Linked DNA regions of Drosophila melanogaster. Changing the gene in region 3 together with the main gene of any one other region gives a genetic interaction. Each region holds a gene or a part of one and is shown on either strand. Other genes may lie near its edges. The genes, in order: htl, tor, Ras85D and Src64B.

Evidence for each region.
Region 1: of Ras85D (region 3) and htl, changing one suppresses a phenotype caused by changing the other (phenotypic suppression), as found in Drosophila melanogaster (4 studies listed by BioGRID).
Region 2: of Ras85D (region 3) and tor, changing one suppresses a phenotype caused by changing the other (phenotypic suppression), as found in Drosophila melanogaster (3 studies listed by BioGRID).
Region 4: of Ras85D (region 3) and Src64B, changing one suppresses a phenotype caused by changing the other (phenotypic suppression), as found in Drosophila melanogaster (3 studies listed by BioGRID).

The regions. Positions count from the first base shown.
Region 1 is NT_033777.3:18,049,980-18,054,643, reverse strand, and holds the start of htl (heartless), read left to right. Parts: upstream 1-1,659; 5' UTR 1,660-2,142; intron 2,143-4,664. UniProt on the Drosophila melanogaster protein: May be required for patterning of muscle precursor cells. May be essential for generation of mesodermal and endodermal layers, invaginations of various types of cells and CNS formation.
Region 2 is NT_033778.4:7,704,680-7,710,830, reverse strand, and holds tor (torso), read left to right. Parts: upstream 1-1,646; 5' UTR 1,647-1,885; coding exon 1,886-2,038; intron 2,039-2,105; coding exon 2,106-2,336; intron 2,337-2,488; coding exon 2,489-2,726; intron 2,727-2,786; coding exon 2,787-2,869; intron 2,870-2,925; coding exon 2,926-3,094; intron 3,095-3,162; coding exon 3,163-3,468; intron 3,469-3,524; coding exon 3,525-3,860; intron 3,861-3,917; coding exon 3,918-4,089; intron 4,090-4,150; coding exon 4,151-4,649; intron 4,650-4,716; coding exon 4,717-4,811; intron 4,812-4,864; coding exon 4,865-4,987; intron 4,988-5,047; coding exon 5,048-5,185; intron 5,186-5,241; coding exon 5,242-5,415; intron 5,416-5,473; coding exon 5,474-5,528; 3' UTR 5,529-5,648; downstream 5,649-6,151. Other genes in the region: CG1941 (uncharacterized protein), read right to left, coding at 38-135, 187-315; CG34216 (uncharacterized protein), read left to right, coding at 5,894-6,151. UniProt on the Drosophila melanogaster protein: Probable receptor tyrosine kinase which is required for determination of anterior and posterior terminal structures in the embryo.
Region 3 is NT_033777.3:9,510,029-9,514,688, reverse strand, and holds Ras85D (Ras oncogene at 85D), read left to right. Parts: upstream 1-1,621; 5' UTR 1,622-1,901; intron 1,902-2,236; 5' UTR 2,237-2,397; coding exon 2,398-2,536; intron 2,537-2,692; coding exon 2,693-2,949; intron 2,950-3,007; coding exon 3,008-3,181; 3' UTR 3,182-4,128; downstream 4,129-4,660. Other genes in the region: Rlb1, read right to left, coding at 1-1,242, 1,300-1,326. UniProt on the Drosophila melanogaster protein: Ras proteins bind GDP/GTP and possess intrinsic GTPase activity. Plays a role in eye development by regulating cell growth, survival of postmitotic ommatidial cells and differentiation of photoreceptor cells.
Region 4 is NT_037436.4:4,623,100-4,627,948, reverse strand, and holds the start of Src64B (Src oncogene at 64B), read left to right. Parts: upstream 1-1,816; 5' UTR 1,817-2,012; exon of another isoform or gene 2,013-2,186; intron 2,187-2,555; exon of another isoform or gene 2,556-2,620; 5' UTR 2,621-2,739; intron 2,740-4,849. Other genes in the region: HDAC1 (histone deacetylase 1), read right to left, coding at 1-338, 417-529, 967-1,009. UniProt on the Drosophila melanogaster protein: Tyrosine-protein kinase that may play a role in the development of neural tissue and smooth muscle. May contribute to tyrosine phosphorylation of Dscam1, a cell surface receptor involved in targeting of growing axons during eye morphogenesis.

The DNA.
Region 1 (4,664 bases), 8.5 Mb from region 3:
GCACGAGATCTCGACGAGCTGCGATCTGCGAGATGGCTGCAGATCGTGTCGCCCAACTCGAAGATCGTGTCTCCAAAAGCCTGTTACCGTTCCCGATTTTTCATTTCCCATTCGCAGATTCCCAGAGCCAAATGGCCAAAGGCTCGACCAACCAGACTTTGAGCCAATTTCCCAATATTTATTTCTATGCTCGAAACGCTAACAACTTGCGTTTCGTTCTGGCCAAATTGAAAAGCCATACGGAAGCTGAAGCTGCGATCGGCAGCCTCGAGGAGAAGCACTTTTGGGTAGCCAAGAGGAGCCCGGTTTGGAGCCAGGTTGGAGCCAGGAGGCTTGCCCAGGAGTGCATAAAATTTAAGTATTATGACCATACACACTGATCGGTGGCCGTCTTTAACCCGTGCTTTCCCCGGTCTCTCTGCGGCTTTACGAGGTTGTTAACTGTTGAAACTATGCTAACCACTCATGGGGATCCTCCCTCCCAATTCCGCCGTGGAGCATCAATTAATCAGTCAGGCGTAACGCCATTTGGCACTGAACGGGTCCCGTCGGCCACAATTGATGGTCAATAATCGTTAATTGTTTTCGATTTTCGGCCAAAATCCCCCCTGCGTCATTGTCCATTGTTTGGCTAACCCTTTTCGTTATTTTTGGTGTCTCCATAGAGACAAACGCTAAACGATGCCATTGTCTTTGGCGCACAGCGTGTGTGCTTTGATGGCCTTTTCACCACGAGTGTCATTCATTAGAGGGGCTTTCTTCCATCGCCACTTGGCTACTGGTTCTTATGTGTCTGTTGGCCATTTGACATTGGCTATAAGTAGCTCATAATTAATAACTGCTAACTTACTTAGCGAGCTATTGTGTTGGCTAATGAATCTCATTCCGCATTTTCCGCCTCAAACGAAGCGCAAAGAAATGCGCAAAGAATTTGTCAGTAGAATCTTAGGCCCTCATAGGCCATAAATCTTTTTAAAAAATAATAATAATTAAATTCAAGTGACTGATCTATTCTGACTAAGATAAGTTAGCTATTCTTTTTAATAAAGCATGATCCATCAAACCAATTATAACTACATAAATAATTGATCTGAATATAAGGAATCTTTTTGACAACTACCCATCTTCTTTGCACCCTCATAATGAAATTCATGAATTTCCTCGCTGCGCTCGAAACTATGCAACATATTGTGCGTTAGAATATCTTTGAGATATTCCATTCGACTCAATTGAACGAATTTTAGAACGAGTGCGGTCTGTGCACTCAATTACATTTCACTTTCCAAGGGAAGGCCGCCACTCAGCTACACACTTGTGTGTGTGTGTGTGTGGGTCCCCCATATATAGGGTATAGGGGCCCCTATACCATATAGTACCATACATACATATACCGCATACCCAACCCCTCGCTTTTTCGACCCTTCCTCTCTTTGGCTGCGGATTATACAATGTGTGGCTGGCGTTCCGTTCAATTTTGTGTGTTTTCTGTATTTGTTTACGCGCCTGCCGCAAAAATACATTGCAGAGATGTGTTCTCCAGCATGTTGAAGTTGATGGGGGAAATGTGAATTCGTTTCATTTGTTCCCTCATTTAATTGAAGAGATTTATTTCGCAGAGCTGGCTCGGTTCTGTTCGGTTCGCTTGCTTTTTTTTGACTCAGTTGCGATCGGACTGCGTGCCGTTACAGTAGGCGAAATCGGAGGAAAATCGTTGGAAAATCGGTTGGAAAATCGTTGGAAAATCGGTGAAAAATCGTCGAAAATTAGAGCGAACGATCGATCGATTGAACGCGTAATAACGCCATATAATATAATTATACTAATAATTATTAGTAATGCCTCTTGGTGAAAACGCACACATTTTGTGGATGGAAAGAAACAAAACAGAGTCAAGTGTGCAACGGTTTCTGGTTCTGTTTAAGTGCCTAAGTGCCATATAAATGCGTACTAAAACATTTCTGGAATTTTAAGTGGAAACATTCTCGAATTCTGTGAACTTTCCCAATTGTGTTTTTAGTGAAAGACTTACAATTTAGACGAAGGCAAGGAGAAATTCCAACGCAGAGACACTTTGGTGGATATTTGGCAAGAAGCTTTTTGGCATTTTTTTTTTTTTGTTCGTGGAGCAACGCACTTTGTGAGGTAAGTCTTTAAAAATACACACCGTGCATCGTTTAATTTAGTTTATTTTGTTTTTGGTTTTTTTTGCGTAGTTGCGCAAATCATTTGTTTGATCCACTTTTTGATTGACCGCGCACAGCAATTTGACTTTTTAACCCAAAGGCCAAAAAGTGTAAAATGTGCAGTGGTTCGGTTCCAAAGCAATTTGTGTCGTTTATCCCGCTGTGTGTGTGTGTAGTCAATCGTTCAATTATCTATTCTCTGGCTACCCCATAATAATACAGTGAATATGGACAGTTGTGGGCTCCCCATAGTATCTGTTTTTTTTATTTTTTATTTATTCCATTCGGTTCTGCTATGGTACATGCTCAAATTGAAAGCACTTTTCCACAGGGTTCCCATTCTAATTTATATTTATTTATTTGCTTTTACAAGCCAACCGATGCCCCAGAGCTCGGGAAAATATTTCAAACTCATAATTCTGTTATATTCCAACGCTCCCTTAGAATGGGATTTTGTTTATTAACCAACAGCATATAGCATATATCGTATCATCTAGAGTCTAGATTCTAGAATGTAGACGGTATAGGAACATGCAATATTTTCTAGCCGCGTAAACAAACATTTCAACTTGTCTGCTCTTTGTCCGACTTGCTCTATATCTGAGTGAGTATATAGCTAAAGATATAGCTATCTGTGTGTATATATATGTATATATATATATTTATCGGGTATCTGTTTTGTCGGTCGGTTAGCTTTACGATGCCATCTTCTAGGTGATTCGGCTTCTGTTTTGTTGCCTTTGGCAATCACTCAATTTGCTGGCCGACAACCGAAGACGCTTCTTACTTTTCGCCTCCCTTCTCTGCAATTTATTTATGAATGATAATTAAGGTTAGGTTTGTTTAGCTAATTGTGCGGCCAGTTCCCGGTATTGTTCCCATATCATCTCAGGTGGGATCCACGCAGACTTTCGGTATGATCCTTTGATCTTTATGATGTTAAAGTACAAATGTCACGAGAATATATGCTTGCTATATAATATTAAATGTTTTCATGAGAGTTTATCATAAAATCAGTGTTTACCAAATAAAGATTTCGATTTAGAAATAGATTTATGTCAACAATAAAGTAATAATGTTATTTTTTGGTATTATAATATATTATAGCTTAAGCTTATCAATGCTACAGCACTTTTATAATGGATTTTGTTGTCTAAATGTTTGTGAGTACTAATAAAATTTTAAAGCTCTAAATGGCAAATTTACAAATATATAAGTAAAGCTTGCAACAATTTAAGAATAGCACATATTTATTTCAACTAAATCTGTTGAACGTTCTTTATATAAATCGCTGCGTGCTTTATATTTCTGAAATGTAAATCGAATCAATAGTTCACTACTCATATACTTTGTGATAATTTAACGTAGCTTCGCGTTTTTGATAAAGTCGACTTGCCACAATCGACCTTTCGCTCCATCTGCTTCTTTTCGTTTACCCCATGGGATGCAACCTTCTCGCCGTCACGTACTGAATGGTATATACTAGATGAACGGGTGGGGATGGATGGATGGATGGATGGCTGGATGGGATTGGCATTGGGTGGCTGATGGCTGGTGGAACCTGCCGACGAACCGTGCGAAATAACAGACTCGTGCCGGTCTCGACTTGGTATCGGATACACTGAGCGGCAGCGGGGCAACCGCCAAGTGCGTCAATTGCGGGTCAACCCGTGCGATTGAAATGGATGCGCCAAGTGACCGGCGATTTCAATTCGATGGGAAATGTACATATACCGTGCAATGTTTGTATACTTTGCAAATACTTTCCGGAACGTGTTTGTTTATAAATCGGGCGATTTTGGACGGCACAGGAAATACATACATATACTAAAATTGCGCGCTCATTATCGATGGAGGTGAAGGTCGGAGGGTGGAGATAGAATACCAAACATATATACAATTTTTGGCAGTTTCCGATTTGGCGGATGCCTTCCTGGAAGTCAACATTTCGGATAACCCCATCATTTAGACGCTGGAGTCGCTACTTCCCCTCGAGAATCGACGACAATGTCTGTGCAACACATGTGGCACGATCTTAGGTAGACATACGTATATGTACATTCGTGTATGTTCGATGCTGATGATGTGCCCACATGTTGCAGTCAACAATAGAGCAACAAATGCAAGCCGAAACAATATTTGCCCTTGTCTCTGCTCTGACTCTGACTGTGGGCGTGGCGACGGGGGCGGGAGAACAGAGACAACTGAACACAGTAGTCTTCTCCGCCGGCCGTTATTTTTGTTGCTTTTAATTTCTTTAATTTTTTTTTGTCCGCCAGATGTGGGCTGAATGTTGAATGCGGACTGGAAAGATCAGACCCAGAACGCGGAGAGAAACTGTGTCTGTTTTAATTAAAGATGAGAGTAATACCCAGTGCAAACTGAGAGATACCGCCGATACTGAGATACAAAGCCAGACGGGGCTGGCATGTGTGGAAAATTAAGGCTGCCGTTGAAAGCGAAAAGATGCGGGACGCTAAA
Region 2 (6,151 bases), on a different chromosome or scaffold from region 3:
GCTTTAAGTGTTCTTATAGGGACTTCATGACGCCTACCCATTGCCATCCATAATGGAGTGGGTTCTCTTGTGATTCGCGTAGACGTAGACCAAATAGATGACCATAATGGTGCGCCACAAAAGGCTTCCATAGAACTGGAAGGGAATGCTTTACTTTTCAAAATATTGAAGCACTGATGTATTTACCAGCACGGCAGCAACGAAGAAATAGGATCCAAAGGAGAGTATCATAAAGGATAGGATTAGGAAGGCCATGGCAAACGTCTGGCGACGCCGTTCCATGGGAACTCCTTTGGGAGCCCACTCGATTTTCATGATGTCAGAGCTCTCGAACTCGGAAAGTTGAACTACTTGGTAGCACGGTCCTCCGGCGACTGAAAAATGGAAATGTTCAATGTTTAGTTACCATTTCTTATCCTTATCAGTATCCGTCGGTGGCGCGAGTGCGTGGCTATTGGTTAGAGTTGTTAAAAAAATACCTTCGATTTAATGGCTATTCGCTTGGGGTGTTTAAAAATTCGAGCAATCAAGATAATGACTTGCTCTATATGGACGTCTGGCTAGAATGCCGATATGATATTATATGATATGATCTTATCATTGCCAACAACAGCCGGCTTTAACGTTTGTCCGATACTTGTGATCACATATATATAATTATTGTTTTGAAATTTCAATTGCAACTGGTTTGAATGCCTTTAGAAAGAGAACGAAACTGCTGTTGCACGACAACCTCCTCACTTTAATTGAATGGTGATAAAACTAACTGGGAGTTACTCGTATTGCTTTTGATCCGATCCGCTTTGGCCTAGTATCACAGGCTAATTATTTTAAACTTGTAGAGCTTTAATAAACTAGACGCTCCCATAGAAATTTATTATTAATGTTTACACACGTAATGGATCGTTATCGCGTTTGAGCAGCAGAACCGACGATGCGAGCGTACAACATTTAACTAAACTTGCGAGTGGCACTGAATGCTCGAGTTTCCCATGTGAGTGTTTCGAGTACTCGAATGCGATGCAACAATTGAGTCACCAATGTAATCGAGCGTTCTATACGAATAACCTGAATCAGAGGCAACTGAGGTCATGTGCATTTGCAAGTCGCTATAAGGAAATACCTGTATTGTCAGCTCTGTTCCAATTGAAATGGAATCAGGGAAAGTGTGATCACGCAAAAGCTACAATGTGGGCGAAATTAGCATAGTTGTTTTTTGGTTAATTTCGAATATTGGCGCCCAACATGGTTTCTAGGGATGGAAGCGACCAGCACTGCATTCTGATTTATCGGTTTGCTGCAATACAAGCTCTTTTGGCGCAACAGATCATAGAAGATTGAAATACAAACGTTGTTGGTGGTATCACAAATGAAAATTGCGAAGAGTTATCTGAAGTCAATGTTCTATGCTTATCCCAAGCCCTGGCGCTACTATGACGGAGTAGCGATCCAAATTTTTGCATTTCAAATGACCCCTAGTCCAATCCCATCCATACGATCAAGTACAATACGATGCAGTGAAGAGGTGAAAAACAAATCAAAACAAAATAGCGCAAAATATATTCAACGAGTCCGCCGCTTCTCATCATTCCTCCTTCTTCGTCGCTTTTTTACCATCGCATTTTTGGCCTCAGTTTCTCAGTTCTTTCTCAGTTCAGCAAGATAATCCGAGAAGGACGGATGGTATTGATCTCGAAAGTTGGAATCTAGAAACTAAGTATTCGAATTTGCTGTGTGTGTTATTGAGTTTTGTATCAAAGTGCGTGGTGGCAAAAGTGCAATAAACTTTAAGTCGGTTTTAAACAAATACACATTTCATTCCAACACACACACACCGACACACAACGAAGAACTAAAGAAGGGTTTCAAAAGCAGAACAAGGAAAATGCTTATTTTCTACGCGAAGTACGCATTTATCTTCTGGTTTTTCGTGGGAAGCAATCAAGGTGAAATGTTGCTAATGGACAAAATCTCTCACGATAAGACGCTTCTCAACGTCACCGCTTGCACCCAGAATTGTCTGGAAAAGGGCCAGATGGTATGTTTACACCCTTAGAATGTTGGAACACTCCATAACCAAAAGTGCATGCTTCTTTTCTCGACAGGATTTCCGAAGCTGTTTAAAGGACTGCAGGATTAATGGAACATTTCCCGGGGCTCTGCGCAAGGTGCAGGAAAACTACCAGATGAACATGATCTGCCGCACGGAGTCGGAAATCGTTTTCCAAATAGATTGGGTGCAGCACAGCAGGGGAACCGAGCCGGCTCCAAATGCCACCTACATAATCCGGGTGGATGCTGTCAAGGACGACAACAAAGAAACTGCGCTTTACCTGGTCAGATATTAGATGTAAACTCATTACTATTTACTTTAAAATACCATTTTATTTGATGAATTTCTAGAAAAAGATGTACTATGTAGTCATCAAGACCTAATGTTTCGTTTTACAAGTGGATCGCTCTTTTTCATCGACTTATTCGCTTGCAGTCTGATGACAACTTTCTCATCCTGCCGGGATTGGAGTCCAACTCTACCCACAACATCACCGCCCTGGCGATGCACGGAGATGGCAGCTACTCCTTGATAGCAAAGGACCAGACCTTCGCCACCCTCATCCGAGGCTATCAGCCCAGCAAAATGGGAGCGGTGAATCTGCTGCGGTTTGTCCCCCAACCAGACGACCTGCATCACATTGCTGCCGAAATCGAGTGGAAGCCATCGGCGGGTAAGTAGCTCCATCAGTTTAATCAATCAACGATCTACGAACCCTACTTTCATATTCCAGAGAGCAACTGCTATTTCGACATGGTGTCGTATTCAACCAACAGCGTGAATATGGACGAGCCACTGGAGGTGCAGTTCCGGGATGTGAGTATGCCATGACGCCCCTGCAATGCTAGAGCATAGCTAATCTTTTACTGCAGCGCAAAAAGCTGTACAGGCACACGGTGGACAACTTGGAGTTTGACAAACAGTATCACGTTGGCGTAAGAACGGTGAACATAATGAATCGACTGGAGAGCGATCTGCAGTGGCTGCCAATCGCTGTTCCAAGCTGCTTGGATTGGTATCCCTATAACTACACACTCTGCCGTAGGTTCCTCGAAAGTCCTATATAATAATAATATTAATAATAATAATATTGTTCCACCCTTTCATAGCACCCCATAAGCCAGAGAATCTTACTGTGACCCAGAAGCAGTATCTGCCAAATATTTTGGCCCTGAACATCACCTGGGCGCGTCCCAGATACCTGCCGGATAACTATACACTTCACATCTTTGATCTATTCAAAGGAGGTACGGAGCTAAACTATACACTTGACCAAAACAGGAGCCACTTCTATGTACCCAAGATCACGGTACTGGGTTCCCATTTCGAAGTACATTTGGTGGCCCAGTCGGCAGGCGGAAAAAACGTATCCGGTTTGACGTTGGACAAGGTTCATCGAGGTGTGTTGCTGAGCGGTACGTACGCTGAAGGAAATTAAATATTTAGACATCCATTTCCATCCATTGAACAGAGGGCAACATGGTCAAGTTGGTACTCTTTATTATCGTGCCCATATGCTGCATTTTGATGCTGTGCTCCCTGACGTTCTGCAGACGAAATCGTTCGGAGGTTCAGGCGCTGCAAATGGACGCTAAGGACGCGAAGGCCAGTGAATTTCATCTCTCCCTGATGGACAGCAGTGGCCTGCTGGTCACCCTCTCGGCCAACGAGAGTCTGGAAGTAATGGACGAGCTGGAGGTGGAGCCACACTCGGTGCTCCTTCAGGATGTCCTCGGCGAAGGAGCCTTTGGCTTGGTGCGACGTGGAGTTTACAAGAAACGCCAAGTGGCCGTCAAGTTGCTGAAAGGTTGTACCATTTGGTATTGAAGTTCTTGAATAATTCATGGAATTTTTGTTCTCACAGATGAACCAAACGACGAGGACGTATATGCGTTCAAGTGCGAAATTCAGATGCTCAAGGCCGTGGGCAAGCATCCAAATATTGTGGGTATCGTGGGATACTCCACTCGTTTTAGCAACCAGATGATGTTGCTAATTGAATACTGCAGCCTTGGAAGCCTGCAGAACTTTTTACGGTAAGTTATTTTTATACATATTGGAAAACAAGTGATGTATAGTAAAAAATGTATTACTTAGTGAGGAGTGGAAGTTCAGGCAGGAGCAAAATGCAATTGGACTTAAGAAGAACCTTGAACAGAACGTGGACAACCGACGGTTTAACCGACTCCCTAGAAATTCCATCCATGATCGCATAGAGGATATCAACAACTCGATGCTGTCCACTGTGGAAGAGGAGAGTGAATCGGATCAGACACACTCAAGTCGATGTGAGACCTACACCCTCACTCGAATAACCAATGCAGCCGACAACAAGGGCTATGGCCTGGAGGACATTGAAAACATCGGTGGGAGTTACATTCCCAAAACCGCTGAAGCTCCAAAGGATCGGCCAAAACGGAAGCTGAAGCCGCAGCCCAAGAAAGACTCGAAGCAGGATTTCAAATCGGACAACAAGAAGCGAATCTTTGAGAACAAGGAATACTTTGATTGCCTCGACTCATCGGATACCAAGCCCCGAATACCACTGAAATATGCAGATTTGCTAGACATCGCCCAACAGGTGGCGGTGGGAATGGTAGCCTACATCTACTCTATCCCTAAATGTAATTAAAAAGTGTAGCATGTATCATTTGCCATTTTAGGAATTTCTGGCCCAAAACAAAGTAGTGCATAGGGATCTGGCTGCCCGGAATGTTCTAATCTCCGTAGATCGCAGCATCAAGATAGCAGATTTTGGGTGGGTATCTCTGAAAGTTCAATGATTAGTTATATTGTGTTTTTTTTTTTAAGGCTGAGTCGAGATGTGTATCATGAGAACGTGTACCGAAAGTCCGGAGGAAGTGGCAAGCTGCCCATCAAGTGGCTCGCGCTGGAGTCCCTCACCCACCAGGTGTACACCAGTCAGAGCGATGTGTAAGTATATATTTTTGTTAAGTCCGAAGCGATTTTGTGGCTGATATCTTACCCTCTTAGTTGGTCCTTTGGTGTGCTGCTCTATGAGATCACCACTCTCGGTGGAATGCCATATCCGTCGGTGTCTCCCAGTGATCTCTTGCAGCTACTGCGACAAGGTCATCGGATGAAGCGACCGGAGGGATGTACGCAAGAAATGTGGGTATCAGTGCTTAGCGAAGTACATAATTGTTGATCACATTTGCTTAACTCAGGTTTTCCCTGATGGAAAGCTGCTGGAGCTCCGTGCCATCACACAGGCCAACATTTTCCGCCCTTAAACACAGACTTGGTGGCATGATTTTGGCCACTAACGATGTTCCAGAAAGGCTGAAACAACTGCAAGCTGCAACCGAGTCAAAATTAAAGTCATGTGACGGTCTAAACAGGTAAGTAATCTTTAAAAAGACAATTGTATACGTTACTTTCTTACCTTTTACAATTTAGTAAAGTGGAGCAAGTGCCATGCGAGGAAGAGCTATACCTAGAACCTTTGAATTAATAGTCATTGCTTCAAGATTATAATGAACGAGTGCAATACATTCTAAATTCGAGTTCCAATTCAGACAATGCTATGCGCCAGATAACCTTGCATAGCAATAAACATTAAAGCTAGCCTAAGAAAAATTTAATTTCTTTTTTATAAGAAAAACCAAGATATTTATAGAGTAAACTTCTAGCAGTGCCCTTTATGTCTCATAGAAACCGACCATTTCAAAATGTTTGTGCCTCCTTGCGGCTTAGGTTTCGAAAGAAGGTCGTTTATTTGGACCCCAATCAGCATCATTTTTGAAAATTCCAAATTGAAAGTCGGTCCAAGCTGGCTTGTTTACAGTGTTTCAATTCTACTTCTGGCCACCTCGATCGATGTGCATCCACTGCTGTCGCCTCCGCCGGACACCATGTCCACCGATTCCCTACAGCTGTCCACACTGCCCGGTGCGCACCATCTCCAGCTGCTGTCCACTGGGCAGTCGGCCCCTCGCCGAGAATCCTTTCATAAGAGGTCCGGATCGGGAGCCAACCCCCGATCCCTGCGACACCTTGCCACCGCGCTGGCTGGACCTCAATCGACGGGTCATATTTGCCTTGGCAAAAAGATTATGTCGATCTCCAGAGGCAGCT
Region 3 (4,660 bases):
TTGATTGATACTTGGAGCAATAATTTCCGCCGCCTGGCCGTCGTCGCCGAATGTAATCTTCTTGCCTCTAAAATCACCAATGATTGGTTTCTGCTGTTGCTTAGCCAGCCAGGAGGGATGACGATCATCAGTTGGCTTTCTCGCTTTGAACTCTGGCTGTCTTTCCGGTTTCTCCCGATATGTGTTCGACCGTCGATCCTCATTGCGGAACCTTTTGACTGGCGGCGGTGCCTGTTCCTCATCAGCTTCGCTGTCATTGTCCCCGGAAAGAACCACGGCGCTGGACAAGTAGGGCTGGCCTGATTCCGTAATGAAGAAGGGATCAACGACATGTGTGGGACGATTATTGTCAAGTTGTGGTTCTTCTTCATCGATACTTGGCTGCCTTTCTAATCGTGGCTTAGGCTTCTGCTCTCTGGCTGGTTTTTTCTCGAAGGGTTTTGGCTTAGATTCTTTCGGTCTGCCTTCTAGTTGTGGCTCTGCATTATTCTCCTTGATTGTATTTAAATTCTGCTTTTTGGAACTGAGCTTAGTTATCTCCGGGTTGATCTGCTCATCAAAAGCTTGTTTTTTCTGAAGGTTTCTTTCTTTTTTGGCTGGTGTTTTAGGTGTCTTTTCCTTTTTGACTTTGAGAACTGGAGAATTTTCAGTTTTTGCAAAAGACTGTGGTATTTCCTGATCATTTACTTTGCTGACTTGAAGAGTGGGCGTTTCCGCAGTTGCTCCATTAACATCTGCATCCACCACTTTGTTCTGCTCTAACCACTCCAGTCGGTTTTTGGTTTGGGCCTTCTGCTCCTTCAGCTCCTTGCGCTTCCTCTTCCGCTCCTCAGTGCGTTCTATTTTGGCCCTTCGCTTGCTCGTCTCTAGGATCTCCTCACGCCACTTGGCCTCCTTATCGGTGGTGCTCAGCTTCAAGGTTTCCACAAACTTGTCCACCAGTCCGTGCATCAATTTGTTTAGCCGCAGCATGGCAATGCCCAGTTCATCCGGCGTGGAGCGCTCGTTAGCAATCACCGCATTGGGATTTGTGCCCTCCTGCAGGAGCGACTGGCGTACCATATCCATATATTTTAGAGCCTTCAACTGGGCCAGGCATTCTGTGTTCTTGCGTAAACGAATCTTTTCCTTTTCACTGTCTGGATTTTTGGCCAGAGCCTCTTTTGTCTTTCGCAGCTTTTGTACGATTTTGGCGATGGTCTGGGCGCGTGCCTTTTGAATGACCTTCTTGTTGGATATCACCTGTAAAAGTTCTTTTTAATTAAAACTCTATAATTTTAAATAAAATCGTTTATTTACCAAATTATTGAATTTCAATCTGTCCATGCTGTTTTCGTTACAGTGGTGGTTGAAATAATAGACTCAGGCTTGAGTCCGTGCTAAGAAACGGTGATGCCAGCCCGTTGAACTTAAATTAACAATTATTAAAAGCAGAAAGCGTCTGCCAGTTTTTACAGAAAGCTGTATTGATCAAATCATTTATTAGTTTAAGCAAATTATAGAGAGTCGACTGAAGTGCATCCACCTCTTTAGATTAGTTTTCATATAGCAATCGCTATTGCAAGTCCATCGATGGTGCCGGCCAGAATGCAGCCATCGCTATCGATAGTGCCATCGGCTTGGTGCCAGCTCTAGTATCTTCACAGCTACGTACAGCCTAGATTTCATCTTCATTTCACATACGGATTTATTGTTTTCCTGCGCTGTTAATTGCAATTACCGCACGGCAATTAAATTGGTGCCATCGAGGAGTACCGCCTGTCGCACCGTTAGCCGCGAAAGTGACGTGAAACGTGCCCAGCAACTGCGCCGCGCGCGAGAAGAGAGAGGCAGAGTATTGATAGAGAGGAGCGGAGCGGAAAAACAAGGAGGAGCTAGCTGAAGAGGCAGCAACAAAGAAGGTCCGCAGCCCCGGCAGGCAAAAGAAAAATAATAAAGAAAAGGGCTAAAAACAACGCCGCCGAATTAGCAAATTCACCTAGTTAACAACTCGGCTATGGGGGAGACTAACTAATTTGCATTGAGCGAATGGGTTTTAATTTTAGTTTGAGTCATTGATCTCTTTTTCCCATTTTTTTTTGTGTTGCCCGTCTGGCTGTGTGCATGCAGTGGTGCGTGTGTGTTTGTGCGAGTAAGCGCCTAGTCACAGTGACTCAGTGACGTGCATTAATTCCTGCCTAATTATGCGTTTAATTTATTTTAATCAATCTTAATTAATAATTTACTCCACTTGCAGCCCATACACGCACAGTCACCCACACAAACACACGCAACAAGCGTACGGAGAGAGAGACTGCATCTGCGGGCGCTTCACAAGAGAGTAAGCATCGATCGCGAGAAAGAGACTGTTACTGTGACATTTGACTACGGCAAATCGAAAACGGACGCCACAGCCAAATGACGGAATACAAACTGGTCGTCGTTGGAGCCGGAGGCGTGGGCAAGTCCGCGCTCACCATCCAGCTAATCCAGAACCATTTCGTGGACGAGTACGACCCCACAATCGAGGACTCTTACCGAAAGCAAGTGGTTATCGGTGAGTTATATGTACTTAGATCTGGCAAAGCTAGGGCTGCACAGGTCCAAATACTCTAGAGATTTCTGCACCCTTTCGCTGGTTTGGTTTCCCGTTTATACTAGAAGAGACCTTAAGAAGTTGCGATATTCAAATGCATTTTATATTCCCCTGCAGATGGAGAGACCTGCCTGCTGGACATCCTGGACACCGCCGGCCAAGAGGAGTACTCGGCCATGCGGGATCAGTATATGCGGACTGGCGAGGGATTCCTGCTGGTCTTTGCCGTCAACAGTGCGAAGTCCTTCGAGGATATCGGCACCTACCGTGAGCAGATCAAGCGCGTAAAGGATGCCGAAGAGGTGCCCATGGTGCTGGTGGGCAACAAATGTGATCTGGCCTCGTGGAACGTTAACAACGAGCAGGCAAGAGAGGTGAGTACCGGCCTTCAGAGTTCCGAGCGAACATTCCGTTAATTATGGTTGTTCTCAGGTGGCCAAACAGTACGGCATTCCATACATTGAGACATCCGCCAAGACGCGCATGGGCGTGGACGATGCATTTTACACACTGGTGCGCGAAATCCGCAAGGACAAGGACAACAAGGGGCGGAGGGGCCGCAAAATGAACAAGCCGAATCGTAGATTTAAATGTAAAATGCTCTAAACGGCCACGCATTGGTTATTATTCACTTTTTATTTCTTCAAATGTCGCCTGTTTGTCTGTATGTGCGTCGGCGAATCGCCGATCGTCCTGGGCTCGATGGTTTGTCCATTTTGGACACACAATGCGAAAAACACACACATGTGGGAGCGTGTTGGTCGGTGCAATTGTCAGATAAAAGAAGAGAAATTGTAATTAATTTAAGTAACTAGAGTTTTATGTACGTCGAAATGATTTTGTGAATGTGTGTGTTTTGTGTCGTTTGAAAGGCTGCGAGGCGCCCTTTTAAGAGTATTAACAATAACAAGCAAACAAAAACGAACGAAGCAAATCGAAAATGAAAATGAATATGTACCTCTACATAAAAACTATGAATACTGTTGTAACTGCCTTGGTTCAGCTGCTATATCCGTTTGTTTTCAACCAGCACTTAACTTGATTCTATGTTGTTTGTACTTCAACAGATACTCCGTGCTTAAAACCGAAACGCGATGTAAACAAATATTGTGTATTTTTACAGCCCTGTTATCTATTGGTTTCAACCCGACAGTCATACATAAATGTAATCTTTTTTCGCACACACGCACGAGCAGAATTCCATTAGTATTCATCATTAGAGAACAAACAAGCAAAAGCCGATAAGCTCACAGCAACTTTCGCACAAACGAGTAAATTCGCTAGCCCCAAACTAGATTTATGTTCGGTTAAACACATATCTGTGGTGCTACGATGATGAAATTATAATCCGTATGAGTTCTTGAGATTTGCCTTTCTTTCTACTTACCATACTGACAGATCAATCGGAGAGAAAACAAACAGCCAATTAAATTTACATTATATAGTTTGCTTTAAGCTTTTTATACATACATACATACATTTAATATTTAATTTTTTGTATTAATTTTTGCCATACAAAAAGAAACGAAATAAATCGATTGTGTGTACTATTTATGAAAAGTGGTTTTAGTTATTCCATAGTTTTGCTTTTGTGGATTCTATTTTTCCATCTAAAGTCTCCTGTCTTGTTGAGCCAAATATTCTATTATTTGAATTTTTGCGTTGCGCGCGTAAATTGCAGTATGCCTACATTTCGATAATTCGAAGAGCATTTTCGAATATCGGCGATGTCTAGTCGATAGAAATCTGAGACACGTCCAAATATCAAACCATCGATGAATGTGCTGTCATCGTATCACTGTCAACTCTAACATAGACTTTTGTACGGTTTTCTATTGATCTCGGAAACTGTAGTTTGTCACAAGCGTTTGTTCATTGTATAAAATTTACTACGCCGAAAGCAGCAAAATAGAAATATTACCAGTATTAAGAGCACAGCCAACATCAAAAGGTAAGCCATAACGCTAGCATAGAAAAGAACATTTGGCGAAAAAGTCGATTGACGCGGTCGCCATTTTGTTTTCGCGGACGCCGCTCCGGGTGTGTACTACTACGAATATTGCAAGAACTACAAAACGCATTGCG
Region 4 (4,849 bases), on a different chromosome or scaffold from region 3:
TGGTATTTAAGCAGTTCCAGAATTCCCAGAACAATGTCGTTGACGTAGCAGAAGCCCGAGGCTTCCGATTTTTTGGCGTGATGCAGCCCACCGCCCCAATTGATGCAGATCTCCGAGGCTTGCTTATTCAGTTTTACGGCCGCAGCTACGGATCCTCCGGCGGAGAGTTGGCAAAACTCGTATAGTCCATCGAAGACGGGACAATCTTCGCCGACATTGAAACGCTGCATCTGCTTGTTGTACTCCGACATGTTGTCCGGCCGAATGGATCGCAAGAACCGGACGTACTCGTCCGAGTGGAACTTGGTCATCTCATCGGCAGTGGCTTTATGGGGACGCTAGAATAGAGAAATTCGCGTTTAAATCTATCATATATATATATATATCTATCATCACATATTAATAAAGTAACTCACGTATATTTCCATTTTTCGATAGAGCCCATAGTTGAGCAGCAGGTTGTGGGTCATGCGTATGCGATGGGGCTTCATGGGATGACCCTGGCCATAGTAGTAGTTGCCAATGTCGCCTATGGATCAAAAATCGCAATTATGAGCACGTTGAAAAAGTAATTATTTGCCACGCTATGTGGAATACAAATTTTAAGGCCACTGTCGGCGAGGCGTCTGCCTGAGAGCAGCACTTTTTCCGAACGACCGCAGTAGTAGCACTTTCGCCCCGAACGAAAAAGCAACAAAAACACACAGAAGAGGAAGATAGACATCAGGTACATACACACACAAACGCATACAAACGCACTGCGGTCGTATGGAAAAAGTGCGCTGTGGACCGGAACGCGCTCGTACAGTCGCCGTAAAACTTGAAATTTGCAAAAATGCTATCATCTGATGCTAAGTGGATGCGGAAAAAACACAAAGTCGACATGGTAACCCTAGCTGGCACTTTGTAAACACAAATTACCCATCTAGTAGGCCTTTTACTTCCATTTAAATGCTCAAAACTTACTGTCGTAGTAGTAACAAACGCGCTTTTTGCTGTGAGACTGCATTTTGCGGTGCTGTTGGCGGGTCTTAAATCCCCTTAAAGTCGATGTTTTTCTATCCTTCGTCGATCGGATGAACTTGCGAGCTCAGAAGATGGTTTACTTTGGTGCCGGTCCGATTTTTGGCACTTTGGCGCAACTATATAGCCAAAATCGGAGCGCACAAGACAAATTCGCGAAGAGGAAACCTCTGCAGATGGGCAGTGTGACCGCGGACTTTTTTAAATCCACACTTCCCGGCTCTGCAGAATATACTTTTAATACTAACTGCATGAATACCGAAAATACCAAACAAATATATTTAATTATTTATTAAAGAAATATATTTAATAAATTTACATATGAAATACGATTACCCTCTTCATACAGAGTGGTCATTTTTTATTAGATATATAAACAATCAGACCTATGTACTTATCAAAAATTATCAAATATCACGACATATTTTTTGGAAAAATAGCAAGGATCAATTATAAGTTTATAAAGCAAAGTTTATTGGCTAAGATCACGTTGCAGAGTCTGAAGCTGGAACTAGAGATGTTGTTGGAAAACATTTAAGTTTAAGCATTCGAATAAACTAATTGATTTCAATATTTTCTATACAAATATAAATGATTCATTATAATTTAAGAAAAACAAAAACACAGAAGTAATAGGTTGTAGTCCGGGGTAAATAATGTTAAGTCGATTAATCGATAGGAATCCATGCTAATATCGAACTTGGCCCATCGCCAGAGGGTGCATTCCCTCTCTCTCTTTCAGAGCATCACCCATCTCGCTCTAAAATCCACCGCAGTTTCCCACGATTTTCCTTCTCACTCTAAAATTCACCGTTGAACGACTCGGACGCGATTTTCCAGCGCGGGTGATTTTCCTCCTCGGTCGGCGTTTTTCGGCGGCTTCTTATCGACAAACAATAGTGCTCAAGTACAACGAGATTTTGTAGTGTTTTGGAGTTGCTGAATTAGAGGCGATTGTTAATTGAATAAAATTAATAAAACGGCGACGCGTAAGTTTCCAACTCCCCCATGTGCAAGTGTGCGTGTGTGCCCTGTGTGTGTGTGTGAAAAAAGAGAAAGAAGAATGGAGTTGCAGTGGAAACACAAACACGCTCTCTCGCTCCATCTCCCTCGCACGCACACACTCACTGGGCGAATGAAGAAGTGGAAAAATTAAAACCGAAGTAAAGTGACAAAGCGAAGTGGCCAATAATGCAAGAAAAAACATATGAAACCCGCAGTGAACATTTAAAACAAAATTAACATTTTTCATAGGCGGCTAAAATATCCTGCGCAGCTTTTCTCTTTCCGACTTTTCTCTTTTTCCCTTAAGAGTCTTTTCCTATGCCTTTCCCCCTCGGAGACCAACGCCTCTCCTTCGCAACTTTCTGTTACTTTATGTTAACTTCTCCCCTTCTTTCTCTTGGTTTTCCTCCTGTATTTTTCTCTGTTGTTGTTGCTGTGCCCGCAGGATATTTAAGACCTTTTTTTGCTGGCGTTTAATTATAGTTTTCATTGCTCTCTCTCCTTCCCGCATCTCTTTTTCCAATTAGCGTCGAAGTTCGGCGTAAAGTAAACAGCAAAAATATAGTATTTGTTGTTTTTATTTGGCCCGCAGACCGTGCAGTAAAAACAACAACTTTAACAGGCGTAACTGTAAAGTCCGCTTTGCTTTTGATAGCAAATAAAGAGAATCGGAATCCGCAGCAAAGTTTTGATTTATTCTAATTAAAAAAGGTAAGTGCGATATAAAACCGGATTATAGCTCCTTTTCATTCGCACCTCCTTGGCCCGAAGTGCCGTTAGGAAGAGAAGCCAATGAACGCAAATAAGTAAACACAAAAACTAAAAAAAAGAGTGCTAGATTTGCTCTCCCGCTGCATTTCTATTTATGCTTCTGTGGCTGATAATGTGTACAGTGAAAAGTCGAAAGATGAAAAAATAATGAAGAAATGGAATAAAGCTTAACTTAAGGAATCTTAAGACTTGTTGTTTGTTATATTTCGACACATACTAACCATTTCTTCAGGCTTCTTTGCGCTTAAAAAAATACCCAATTGGAGTAAATTTGAAAAAAAAAAAACATTTCAAGCTTTATGATAATTTGGTTCTAAAAATTTATTTGCAACCACTAAATTGTGTTTGGTTCACTTTATCGACGGTCTACCGTATTTAGTTATTGCTCCGGCTGCTGTAAAAAGTCAAAGAGCATTTGTTGTTGCTGCTATTGTAATTGCTTCCAATTTGTGGAGAGCCATTGGATGACGAGTGAATGGGGTTGGGGAAGGGAGATGGAAAGAAGAAGCTCAAGAGCAGCAGGCGTCGGCGCAGCAGCTGCTCCTTCTCTCTCTCTTCCTCTCGCTCTTTCCATCTGGTTTATCCCTTGTGCGCTATTTTCGGCATTTTGTGCTTATTTATTTACCTTTTGGTGGCTTGTTTATTAACCCCTCCTCTTCCCTTCTACTCTAAATCGCTCCATGTGCTTTGAAGTTCAAGCCACAAAATTTGTTTTTATTATTTTTTTTATTTGTTCGTTTCTTTTTTTTTGTACATTTGTAGCTTATCTGTTGCAGTAAAGTTTCACCCTCACTCCAAAAATTTAAACCCCTTCAATTAACATTGCTGCCGTCTGTTTTCTGTTTTTGCTACTTCTTTCCTTTTTCCCTCAGTTGTCTTTCCTTTTTTCTCCTTTTACTTTTTGTGGCCAGCCGCTGATAAAGACCGCAAATAGTTTGTCTTTGCTTCACATTTTTTGTGTACAGTGGCTATCGCTTAAAGGTAACTAAAAACGAAACAGGAAACTTAATTTCAGGAAGTGCAGAGAAATTCCAGTCCTGAGAGCGTTACTTCGTCAGAACTCGATTTGATTCTTTAAGATTAATTAAGGTGTATTGATACTCGAATTTGGTGAGCTCATTTAAACACCTTAATATAAATATGTGTGTGTACGTATCCGAATCACAAATCTTATCTGATTGTGACCTTTATGTTGGCCGTTGAAAATCATAGCCGTTTATCACTGTACAGATTTATGGCCGCTTCTTCTGGAGTCTGTTGCTCTTTAACCCTTAATTGGTGAGTGGGGGTTTTCAATGGAGATCCATTTGAGTGCAACTGGGCAATTATGCTGTTTGGCCGCTGTCCGCTCCTAAGCCCCATTCCCTTCGCCCTCCATTTTAGTGCCCCCTCGTCTTTGACCCCCTGCTAAATCATTGCAAAATGGCAATCGCAAAATGCTCTCAAACAAGTAAATCTGCTTAGCTCGACTAACGGCAAACTTGTTGAGATCTTTTCATTTCTCTATTTTGCTCGCAGTTCGCTCGCTGTTGTTGTTCTTCTTCAAATTTCCTATTTTGCACACAAAGCGTTTTACATGATACGGACGACCACAAAGGCATAGAGTCAATCGAAAAGGGGAGCGGGTGGTGGATGAAGGGGATAACACAGCGTGGGAGGTGCAATAAGGAGAATCCAAACGAATAAAAAGTAGTCAAAGCAACAGAAGTGGAGACGGAAGAAGCGGAACAAGTAGAAAACTCAATTGTTCATCGCTCTCTTTTAGCTCCTCCTTTGTTCCTTTCCCTGCCAGCTGTGCGTGTATGTGTGCGTGTTTGGCCACTTAGCCAGCAAACAATGCGCACAGCAGCAACGTTTTATTGATAAGAACTGAAAGGAGGAGAAAAGGCGATGGAAGTGAAGAGAGGAGAGCGGCGAAGGCGAGGAAAAGTGGAAAGTGCGTGGCAAGTGCGACAAAAAAGAATTAATGTAGAGATGATTGCCTGAGTGGAGAAAATTTCAAGTGGATTTTCCCTTTGATTGCCAGAAAATTACTACTTTTGAGAATTTT